Cricetulus griseus: one gene and its partners. The protein of the gene in region 1 purifies or fractionates together with the protein of each later gene. This does not show direct contact. Links are inferred from orthologs where the notes say so. Each region holds a gene or a part of one and is shown in the gene's direction. Other genes may lie near its edges.

Evidence for each region. The genes of interacting proteins can lie anywhere in the genome.
Region 2: the proteins of Tuba1c (region 1) and Cct6a purify together in Homo sapiens (affinity purification with mass spectrometry; 3 studies listed by BioGRID and IntAct, with this or other methods). This does not show direct contact. The link is inferred for Cricetulus griseus from reciprocal best matches to the Homo sapiens genes TUBA1C and CCT6A.
Region 3: the proteins of Tuba1c (region 1) and Txndc9 purify together in Homo sapiens (co-immunoprecipitation; 3 studies listed by BioGRID and IntAct, counting the BioPlex papers as one, with this or other methods). This does not show direct contact. The link is inferred for Cricetulus griseus from reciprocal best matches to the Homo sapiens genes TUBA1C and TXNDC9.

The regions. Positions count from the first base shown.
Region 1 is NC_048595.1:395,480,224-395,482,672, forward strand, and holds the end of Tuba1c (tubulin alpha-1C chain), read left to right. Parts: intron 1-875; coding exon 876-1,850; 3' UTR 1,851-1,949; downstream 1,950-2,449. UniProt on the Homo sapiens protein: Tubulin is the major constituent of microtubules, a cylinder consisting of laterally associated linear protofilaments composed of alpha- and beta-tubulin heterodimers.
Region 2 is NC_048597.1:109,109,636-109,113,834, forward strand, and holds the start of Cct6a (T-complex protein 1 subunit zeta), read left to right. Parts: upstream 1-1,399; 5' UTR 1,400-1,463; coding exon 1,464-1,600; intron 1,601-2,385; coding exon 2,386-2,449; intron 2,450-3,401; coding exon 3,402-3,536; intron 3,537-3,897; exon of another isoform or gene 3,898-4,036; intron 4,037-4,165; coding exon 4,166-4,199. UniProt on the Homo sapiens protein: Component of the chaperonin-containing T-complex (TRiC), a molecular chaperone complex that assists the folding of actin, tubulin and other proteins upon ATP hydrolysis.
Region 3 is NW_023276807.1:10,255,642-10,259,575, forward strand, and holds the start of Txndc9 (thioredoxin domain-containing protein 9), read left to right. Parts: upstream 1-1,134; 5' UTR 1,135-1,148; coding exon 1,149-1,266; exon of another isoform or gene 1,267-1,307; intron 1,308-2,475; coding exon 2,476-2,684; intron 2,685-3,934. UniProt on the Homo sapiens protein: Significantly diminishes the chaperonin TCP1 complex ATPase activity, thus negatively impacts protein folding, including that of actin or tubulin.

The DNA.
Region 1 (2,449 bases):
CTCTTGTGTGTAATTACAGTGTGGACCTATAAGATGAGAGAACTGAAGGATTAGTAAAAATGTCTGCAAACTTAAGAGTTGCAATGGAATACTTTATCCGAAAGGTCACAACTTAGGGGTAGGGACGGGGTCTTGTAGTAAGTCTAGTGTGTACAAGGTTCCATCTCCAGGACCGTAGAAAAGTATGGAGGTCAAATTTGGCCTGCTGTTTTGTAACAATTACTAGTCAGAGTAGACCAGTTGAATGGAGCAGGGAGCTCCAATGACCCGAGGTCTGGTGGAATGCTGATTAAATAATGGAATCACCTTGCCAGAATGAATAACACCCTCCTGCCTCTCACCCCCCAACACCACAAACTTAGTGCTTCCTGTGCCAAGCATTATTCTAAGAACTCGTTTAATTTTCAGCCTCAGCTGGGTCACTACTCTGATTTAGTGAGATAGAGAAATTAATTTGTCCCACACGAGAAGGTGGGACCCACCCCCCACCCAGCCTGCCACTACCCAGGGCACTGAAACTTGGTCATCCTGTGTTCCAGTTTAGATGTTTCACACAGATCTGGCAACGTGTGAGGTCTGAATCTGGCTGGCCCTCAGTAACTCCAGCTGATGACAAAGGTGCCCTTGTGGTCTGATCCACAGCAAGGTCACTAGAGCCCGCCTTCCCAGCCTCTAAAGCATGCTATGTGTCTGTTCAGATCTAATGTCCTTTAAAATCAGTTTTAGGGAAGTCTGAGTGACTGAGCATTTCGAAGCCTTTCATAACTACTCTTGGACTCTGGAACTTTATTGGTAGTTAGTCACAGACTCATAAACACCCACTGCAGCTTCTACATAGATGTCTCTCAACATTAAAATGAGCTTTTCTCTTACAGGCTGACCAGTGCACAGGTCTTCAGGGCTTCTTGGTTTTCCACAGCTTTGGTGGGGGAACTGGCTCTGGGTTCACCTCCCTGCTGATGGAGCGGCTCTCTGTCGATTATGGAAAGAAGTCCAAGCTGGAGTTCTCCATCTACCCAGCCCCCCAGGTTTCCACTGCTGTGGTTGAGCCCTACAACTCCATTCTCACCACCCACACCACCCTGGAGCACTCTGATTGTGCCTTCATGGTAGACAACGAGGCCATCTATGACATCTGTCGTAGAAACCTCGACATTGAGCGCCCCACCTACACTAACCTTAACCGCCTCATTAGCCAGATTGTGTCTTCCATCACTGCTTCCCTCAGATTTGATGGAGCCCTGAATGTTGACCTGACAGAATTCCAGACCAACCTGGTACCCTACCCTCGCATCCATTTCCCTCTGGCCACATATGCCCCTGTCATCTCTGCTGAGAAAGCCTACCATGAGCAGCTTACAGTAGCAGAGATCACCAATGCTTGCTTTGAGCCAGCCAACCAGATGGTGAAATGTGACCCTCGCCATGGTAAATACATGGCTTGCTGCCTGCTGTACCGTGGGGATGTGGTTCCCAAAGATGTCAATGCTGCCATTGCTACCATCAAGACCAAGCGTACCATCCAGTTTGTGGACTGGTGTCCCACTGGCTTCAAGGTTGGCATTAATTACCAGCCTCCCACTGTGGTACCTGGTGGAGACCTGGCTAAGGTCCAGAGAGCTGTGTGCATGCTGAGCAACACCACAGCCATCGCTGAGGCCTGGGCTCGCCTAGATCACAAGTTTGATCTGATGTATGCCAAGCGTGCCTTTGTGCACTGGTACGTGGGTGAGGGCATGGAGGAGGGGGAGTTCTCTGAGGCCCGTGAGGACATGGCTGCCCTAGAGAAGGATTATGAGGAAGTTGGGGCAGACAGTGCTGAAGGAGATGATGAGGGTGAAGAATATTAGCCCATGTGCTGCAATTTTACACTTCATTGTCTTGTGTTTGTCTTTGTATGTATATGACTGTCTTACACTATCAATAAAGGTGTTTCCATATTAAGTGGGAAACTGGCTTTTGGTTCAGCTTCTTTTCCCATTCTGCCTCGAGATGGCATCTTGCCATGAATGCTGTCACTGTCCTGATTTGAATCCTATTGATGACCCATTTAGTGGGCCCAATTGAGGCTAGTGATTAGTTGACCATTTTCAAGTACCTTCTAGTGTTCTGTGCTTACTAGTTTGTTTCATTATGCATAAGTCTGATTTAAAACATTTTGTACTTAGACCACAGGTCAGAGTCCCTGTCAGTCGATCTCAAATGCGGTATCGTGTATAGCTATTAATGTGCAGAATGACTGGCTCTGAATTGGAGCAATGCTTTACTAGTTACTAGAGGACTTTTTTTTTTTTTAAGATTTATTTATTGCCAGGCGTTGGTGGCGCATGCCTTTAATCCTGGCACTGGGGAGGCAGAGGCAGGCAGATCTCTGAGTTCCAGGCCAGTGTGGTCTCCAGAGCAAGTGCCAGGATAGGCTCCAAAGCTACACAGAGAAACCCTGTCTTGA
Region 2 (4,199 bases), on another chromosome or scaffold:
CTACTATGCCTGGCTTTGTTTCATTCTTGCAATAACTATTAGACAGATGTTGAGGAGAATCAGAGTTTCTTATTTCAATCAAAATGGCAAAACCTCCAGTATAGACCAGCATAATATATCCAATGGTGTTATGAATTGTCATCTGTGTGGAGAAGTGATTCCTATTGATATACATGTTTATAAAGTCAGGTAAAAGCTTAAAAATTGAGCACATATATATACCTAAGTGCTCAGACATACAGGCAGGAAAAACATACATACACATAACATTGTTTTTAAAAAAAAAAAGTTAAAGGGGGTCTGGAGATATGGTTCAGTGGTTAAGACCACAGGCTGTTCTTCCAAAGAACCCGGGTCCAATTCCCAGTACCCACATGGCAGCTTATAACTGTCTGGTAACTCCAGTTTCAAAGGATCTGATACCTTCACATCAATGCACATAAAATAAAGTTTAAAAATTATTTTTTTAAAAAAAGTTAGAGTCCTTTCAAAGGCTGGGCACCACTGTCCAACTAAGCTTGAGTTTTTAGCAGGCATACAAGATCACACCACTTTGGAGGTTGAAGCAGGATTGCTATGAGTTAGCTATCAGTCCAGGCTATACAGTGAGTAGGTTAACCGGGGCCAGAGTGAGACCTTGTTTCACATACAAAAATAAAAAAGCCGGGTGGTGGTGGTGCACGCCTTAAAGCCTGCACTATGGAGGCAGAAGCAGGCAGATCTCTGTAGATTTGAGGCCAGCCAGGTCTACAGAGCGAGTTCCAGGACAGCCAAGGCTACACAGAAAAACACTAACTCGAAAAACCAAAAACCAAACCAACCCTGAGTCCACAAATCTGCCTCAGTGACCTGGGCCCTAAGAATAGACTATTAAGTCTCATCAACGCCCATCGCGCCAATCTCGTCGCTCCTAAAGCCATCCAGGAGTTTCTACCTAGCATTATACTCGTCTTTCCCGGATTTAAATCACCAGAGTACCAGAGAAGCGTCCTTTATCTGTGTTCCTACTTTTAAGGATAAAAGGAGCGATAAAAATGAGTCTAAGAAACCTCGCGAGAGGGTGAGGGGGCCATTCCCGGAACCCAGAGTCCAGTAGCTACAGACACGCTGCAAAGCGAAGCCCATGCCTCTGCTTCCTGTCACACCCAGACGAGTGCTGAGGCCGAAGAATCCCTCACACAGCAGGCCACACAACCTCTGCGACCAAAACGGAACCTTAAGATGCGGAGTGACGATTGCCAGAGAACAAGTTTCTCGGATGCGCAATGACGCCGCAACTGAGCGTGACGGGCGGAGCCTCGAGAGACTAGCGTCTGACTGAGCCAATCATCGAGCAGCAGCGGAGCCGCAGTCCAATGGAGGTGCGCTGGAGGCACGCTGGGGGCGGGCCGGGTGCGTAAGACTTTTCGAGAAGACCCGCATAGAGCACGTTGTTCTCGGCCTCTCCCTGAGCTCGGCCGGCCATGGCGGCGGTGAAGAGCCTAAACCCTAAAGCCGAGGTGGCCCGGGCGCAGGCAGCGTTGGCCGTGAACATCAGCGCGGCACGGGGCCTGCAGGATGTACTGAGGACCAACTTGGGGCCGAAGGGCACCATGAAGATGTAAGGCCGGGATGGCGGGAGGGCGGGCCTGGCGGGCCCATGGCCGCAAACTCGAGCCGCCGCCTCCAGGCCTTGGCTTTCTACGATGTCTGTGCAGCCTCCCAACCAAACCGCCCAGTTCACTCCTTTTGGGATTGCCAGGCGCACCCACTTCCTTTGGAGGGAGAGGGTGGCGTGTGCACCTTTCCTCTACCCAGCCCCGTGACCCCGAGCTTACTAGGATGTAGTTGTAACCAAATTTTATGGGTTTTATTTTTTTTTACCTTATAGTTGGCAAATTGATGAAGTTCACTGGGCCGCAGCGCTTTATTTTACTCTGCTCTTACTACCTATGCCTTTTTCCCCTTGTACCCGCGTCCCAAAAGACGCTTGCTTTCATGTCATATATCCCATTGTCTCCTTGTGGGCTTTTCATTATGTATTTATTTGGGCTCTGACTGATCTGCTCTGAGCTGCCTCGAACTTACAGAGATTCACTTGTCTCAAAAAGAGAGAGAGAGAGAAGCCGGGCAGTGGTGGCACACGCCTTTAGTCCCAGCACTCTGGAGGCAGAGGCAGGTGTATCTCTGTGAGTTCGAGGCCAGCCTGGTCTACAGAGTGAGTGCCAGGACAGGCTCCAAAGCTACAGAGAAACCCTGTCTCAAACCACCCCCTTCCCCAAAAAACACAAATAAGAGAGAAAGAAAGAAATATGCCCTTCCCTTTGACTTCTTTATGGAATTCTTAATTGGGTTTCCATTGAAAAAACGTTACATGTTGCTCATCAGTTTCTGCCCATTTGACAGGCTTGTTTCTGGTGCTGGAGACATCAAGCTTACTAAAGATGGCAATGTGCTGCTTCACGAAATGGTAAGAGGTTGCCGTGCTACGTTAAAAAATAAAAATAAGAAAAGCTTGACCTCCTGTAGTTTTGCTAGTGTTGGCATGTTCATTATTGAGGTGGCTCATATCTTTGAAACAGAAATGTAGAAAATAGTGTACTGGATGAAGAACTCTGCTTGGGGAGGGGGCCTTTTTTTTGTAGTCTGGGTGGTGGTGGTGGTAGTATGCTTTAGTCCTAGCACGATGGAGGTGAGCCAGGTGGTTCAAGGCCAGCCTGACCTACAAAGCAAGTTCCAGGACAGCCAGTGCTGTTACATAGAGAAACCCTCTCTTGAAAAACCAAAAACAGGGCTGGAGAGATGGCTCAGAGGTTAAGAGCACTTCCAGAGGTCCTGAGTTCAATTCCCAGCAACCACATGATGGCTCACAACCATCCGTTATGAGATCTGGTGCCCTCTTCTGGTGTGCAGCTATACATGGAAGCAGAATGTTGTATACATAATAAATAAAATCTTTTTTTTTTTTTTTAAGAAAAAACAAAACAAAAATCATAGCCAGGCAGGGCTACATAGTGAGATGCTGTTTCAAAAACAGGGCAATTGGGAAAGAAAAACAAAAACCCTCATATTCCTACCAAACCACTGGAGAAATGAAGCTTTTCTTGCATCATAGATAACCTGCTTCTGCCTCCTAAATGCTGCGGTTAAAACTGTACACCGTCACACCTGGCTAACTATATATTCTATATGTTGTTATTTTGTCCCAAGGGTTAAATGAAATTGGTCCAAGCATCCATTTGTTTACCAGAACTTTCAGGTCCAGCAGTTTAAATCCCAGAAAAGAAAATGACTTAAAAATCCAAGCAAAATGTAGCCAAGCTGGACACTTTACGTGGATGGCTTTAAAAGGAGCCTGTCTTACATTTTACCTTAGGTAATGGTTTAAGTCATTTAAACAGTTCTTTTTTTTCTACTTTTAGCAAATTCAACACCCAACAGCTTCTTTAATAGCAAAAGTAGCTACAGCCCAGGATGACATAACTGGTGATGGTACTACATCCAATGTCCTTATCATTGGGGAGCTGCTAAAACAGGCAGATCTCTACATTTCTGAGGTATGCATGATAAAATTGTTTCTGTGGTATTTTTGGTGGGCTCTTGGTGCAAATTGATGCAATACTCCCTGAGAGCACACCACAACTGTAAGGTCAAGCTGCTTAAATCTGGGAGCCTGTGCTTGTCTTTATCATGGTCCGGTGTCAACTATATATAAATGATAATATATTTATATTTAACGGACTTGTCTCAAACTCAGAGAGATCTAGCTGGTTCTGCTCCATACCTGGCCTAGTCTCTGGTTTTTTGTTTTGTTTTGTTTTTAATAATATTTCAAAATAATGTGAACTAACTGCAGACAGGATAAGCATTTGCTGACAGCAGAACTTTAGGAGCTAGTTTTGGGTTTGGTATTCTGGTTTGCACAGTGAACACCCAAGTGTGCTTTGTCTGTGGTTCCCTTGGCCTTGACTCTGTGCTAGAGTAAAGTCTGTTCGTTTCCTCTGCATTGAAAGGAGTACTGTGTCCTTTTAAATGTATTCAGAAAATCAGCACATCATGTTAGCTTAATTGTATTAGGTATGGGTCACTTAGGGTGTCCCTTCAAATGTTACTGGACTTAGTGAATTGTTGCATCTTGTTGAAGATGCAAATGTTGGCAGTGGTTTTGTAACTGTTTTGATTATAGGGTCTTCATCCCAGGATAATAACTGAAGGTTTTG
Region 3 (3,934 bases), on another chromosome or scaffold:
AGAGCGGCGCTTCGGATAGAGCGTCTTCAGTGGACCCGCCGGCCAGGTGGGAACCCGAGCGCCCCCTAGCCGCAGGGGACTGCCGCGCGCCGACGCCCGGCAGCTCCCGGATTCTAGAACCTAGAGCCCTGTCGACAATGAGGCTTTTCGTTTCCCACTCACGTCAGCACCCTCCCCGGGGCTGGCATTCGACTCGGGACTGGCACTGAAAACTCCCTCAACCCTGCATTTCCTCAGTGGCAGGGAGTTTCATCCATTACGGGACCGCAAGGAGCCCATGATGAGCCTTCCGGGGTTCCCCAGGGAACGTAACACCCAGAAAAAAAAAAGGGGGTCCCCCTCGGTAACTAACACTCGTGTATAAAATAACACTTCGTACACTTAGCAGCACTGTGCACATTTATTAAGGGGGAAAGACTCAAGGGTACAGCGACCATTCCCACGATATGAATCCTTCGTGTGAGCAAGCTCTAAAGACTCCATGCGTTGCAGGAAATCAGGAGGGAAGACTGACGCGGTAAGAATGTTCTCCATCTGGTGTGGGGCGGTGTGATTGGTGTGAGCTACGTAGTTACAGTGCACTGTGGTGAGCTACGCTTCAACTTTAGAAACCATTAAACGCAAAGGAAACGAAGCCCCATGGTCGCCCAGGAGCAAGACCGGGCTCCTTTCGAGGGAGCACAGCGAGTGCGGACGCGCAGCCTGCGCACAAGGAAAACTACAATTCCCAACGTCCTTAGCGCTCATGCCTCCGGTCGTTAGCCCACAAGCGTGGGGCTGCAATCTTGTAGTTCCGGGTGGCGGAGGAGATTCGCACTCTCCGAGGCTTTCGTCACTCGCCAGCCGCCCCTTCCGCGGTTGTCTCACCGTGCATCGCGAGAGGACGTTAGCCAATGAAAAGGAAGAGCCGGCAGACCCTTCGCCCTTAACAACCGCTGCGAGGCTGAAACCTGCGTGAACCCGATCGGCATTCTTGAGCTGCAACTTCCTCCCTTCGTAGGCATCACCGATAGCCCGGGTAACGCAAAGGAGGAGCCGCTTTCCAGGGTTGAAGGCCGTGTCGCGGCTGCACACCCGGCCGGGCGGGGTCGGGGCGGGGGGAGGGCGCGGCCGGGACAGCCTGGTGTGTGCGCCGGAGGCTGTGACGCATGCGCCCCAGGCCCCAGGTGGTGCCGAGTATCGTCCCCCCGGAACTCCTCCACCTGTCTCTGGAGCTCAGGGAGTGGCCAAGAATCTGCAGAGCGGTACCTGGGGTCGGGGTTTCGGGTAGGAGTTTGTTAGGTGTCAGCCCCCGAGTTAGTTCATCGGTAAGAAGAATACTCGGGCTGGTTCAGTCAACAGGAAGTTATGGGGAACCTCTGAGCCATCCATCTCCTGACCCCTCCGCCCCCGTCTAAGGCAGCGACCACCACCGCCTGCCCTAGCGCGGCTCTCGTGAAGCTCCGAACCTCAATGCAAAAGTTCCCTGTAAAAAGATTCCCCCGTGGATAAGCGAATGCTGTGCTTAGATAATGTCAACATTCTGACGAGCTCGTTTCGTGGCCGGTCATTTGTTTAATCCCGAGTGCAGAGCCTTATATTCTTTTTTTAAAAAATATTTTATTTATCTATTATGTATACAACACTCTGCTTCCGTGTATATCTGCACATCCGAAGAGGGCACCAGATCTCATTACAGACGGTTGTGAGCTATCATGTGGTTGCTGGGAGTTGAACTCAGGACCTCTGCAAGAGCAGTCGGTGCTCTTAACCTCTGTCTGAGCCATCTCTCCAGCTCCGAGCCTTATATTCTTATATATTTCTCCTGCGGGGATAATTTTGTCTGTGAGATGATTTTTGTGGTGTTTCTGAGACGTCTGTGAGATCGGCTTGGACCGTGGGCCTGGCTAGTGGGGAGTGAGGATGGTTTTGATTGCTTTAATTAAAGCAAGGAGACCTGCCCATCTGTGCAGCACCGTTCTGTTCCCCGAATTGGTAAACCTAGATTAGGTGTAGAGAGGAGGCTGGACGCAGGCATGCAGGTGTTCGTTTCTCTATGCTTATGATTGGACGCAGTGTCTTCTGTTCCTGTCTCACTTTTCCTGGCCTCCAATTCGAATAAACCTACCTCCTGTATAGCTGTTTTTCGTTAGGGTATTTCTGAGGAAGTATAGGAATGAAACTCCTTATGGCAATGTCCATGAAAAAAAATGGCTAAAATTTACAGAAGCCATAAAGGAAGTTAGTACAATTAGAGACTTCCCTGGGTCCTGGAACTGTGGACCAGGTCTTTGATGGACTGGGTCTTTATCCCGGTTTCAGCAGGTGTTGGGGCCTACATGCTAGGTTCTAAGGTCTCAGAATGACTAAATGACTTCTACTGTGATACTGTCTCAAGCCCTGTTACCAAGACCCTGTGTTTAAACAACAACAAAACCCCCAAAGTGTAAATGAAATGCTTGTTTTTGTTTTTGTTTTTGTTTTTGACTCTCCCAGCATCAGGACGATTTAGAACAATGGAAGGTAATGGATCCATCGACATGTTCTCAGAGGTCATAGAGAACCAGTTCCTCCAGGCTGCTAAGCTCGTGGAAAGTCACTTGGACTCTGAAATTCAGAAACTGGATCAAATCGGTGAAGATGAGCTGGAACTCCTCAAAGAAAAGAGGCTGGCGGCACTCAGGAAGGCCCACCAACAGAAACAAGTAACCCCTCTGGCCTGCTCCCTGAAATCGCCTTGGCACTGGCTCCTGACTGCAGTGTGCTGTCATGTGACCTTCCCTCCTCATTTTCAGGGTGTTCTGAATTGAACTCTCTGTCACTGTTGAATGTTTTCCCAGGAATAAAACTTGAGGGAAGACTTAGGCAAGATAAAACATGTAACCAAGGAGCTGGCATGTAAAGAGAGAGATTAAAACTTCTCTTTCAGACCAATCTTAGGGTCCACATATCAAATTGAAGACATACAGTAGTTCCATGGGAAAAGATATTTCTAAGTGTTTAAGCATGTGTGCATTCTTATTAAATTGTCTGTTTTGGAGGAGTGGAGGTGGCAGGCTAGAACTCACTGTGCAGCCATGACTGGCCTGCTTCTGCCTCCAGGAGTGCTGGAATTGAAGGCGTGTACCACCACGCCCAGTTCTGCATTGTCATTTATTTTCACGAAAACTCAGTGAGATGATTGTTTTATCATATCCAGTTGCAAAAGAGAAAATGAAGGCTCAGAAAGGTCATTAAGGTTCAGTAAATGGTGGGAAGGGTATTGAAAGGCATAGTGAGCGTCTAGTTGAGGTGACAAAGTCTCTGCCAAGGGAAAGGTGGAAGGGGCTGAAAGAGTTCTCAGGCTTGGTTAATAGGGGTGTGTGCCTTGGGTTTCGAAGTTGAATTATATGTGAGGTTTTCCTTGGTTCTGGACACCCCATGAGTAGAATACTTTTCCTTCTGAGGAGTTTGTTCACTGATGGCTAGTCTAGAAGCCCTTGCCTGTTTGAGATTGTTATCAGAAGGAGATCATTGGGTTCCTAAGCTGCTGAACTGCAGTAACCACACTGTACCCCCCAAATTGACAGGTTTATTTCATGGGGTGGTTTGTTTTTTGTCTTTTTTAATTACTTCTTATTTTTGAGATTATAATACAGTTCCATCATTTCCCCCTCCTTCTCCCTCCCTCCAAACCATCCCTTTCAGATTCATGGCCTGTTTTCATCGATTGTTGTTACATCCATAAGTGTATATATGCATACGTATTTCTAAATATCGTTAGTTTGCTCAGTGTGTAGGATGTTACTCACATGTACATTTTAAAGGCTGACCATTTGGTACTGAATAACCAATTGGTGTGCTCTTCCCTAGAGAAGACTATTTCTCCATTCTCAGCATTCCGTAGTTTCCTGTAAGAACATTATTCTTTTTAAAGTATAGACCTGAGTGTGTGTGTGTCTCAGTGGAAGAGCTC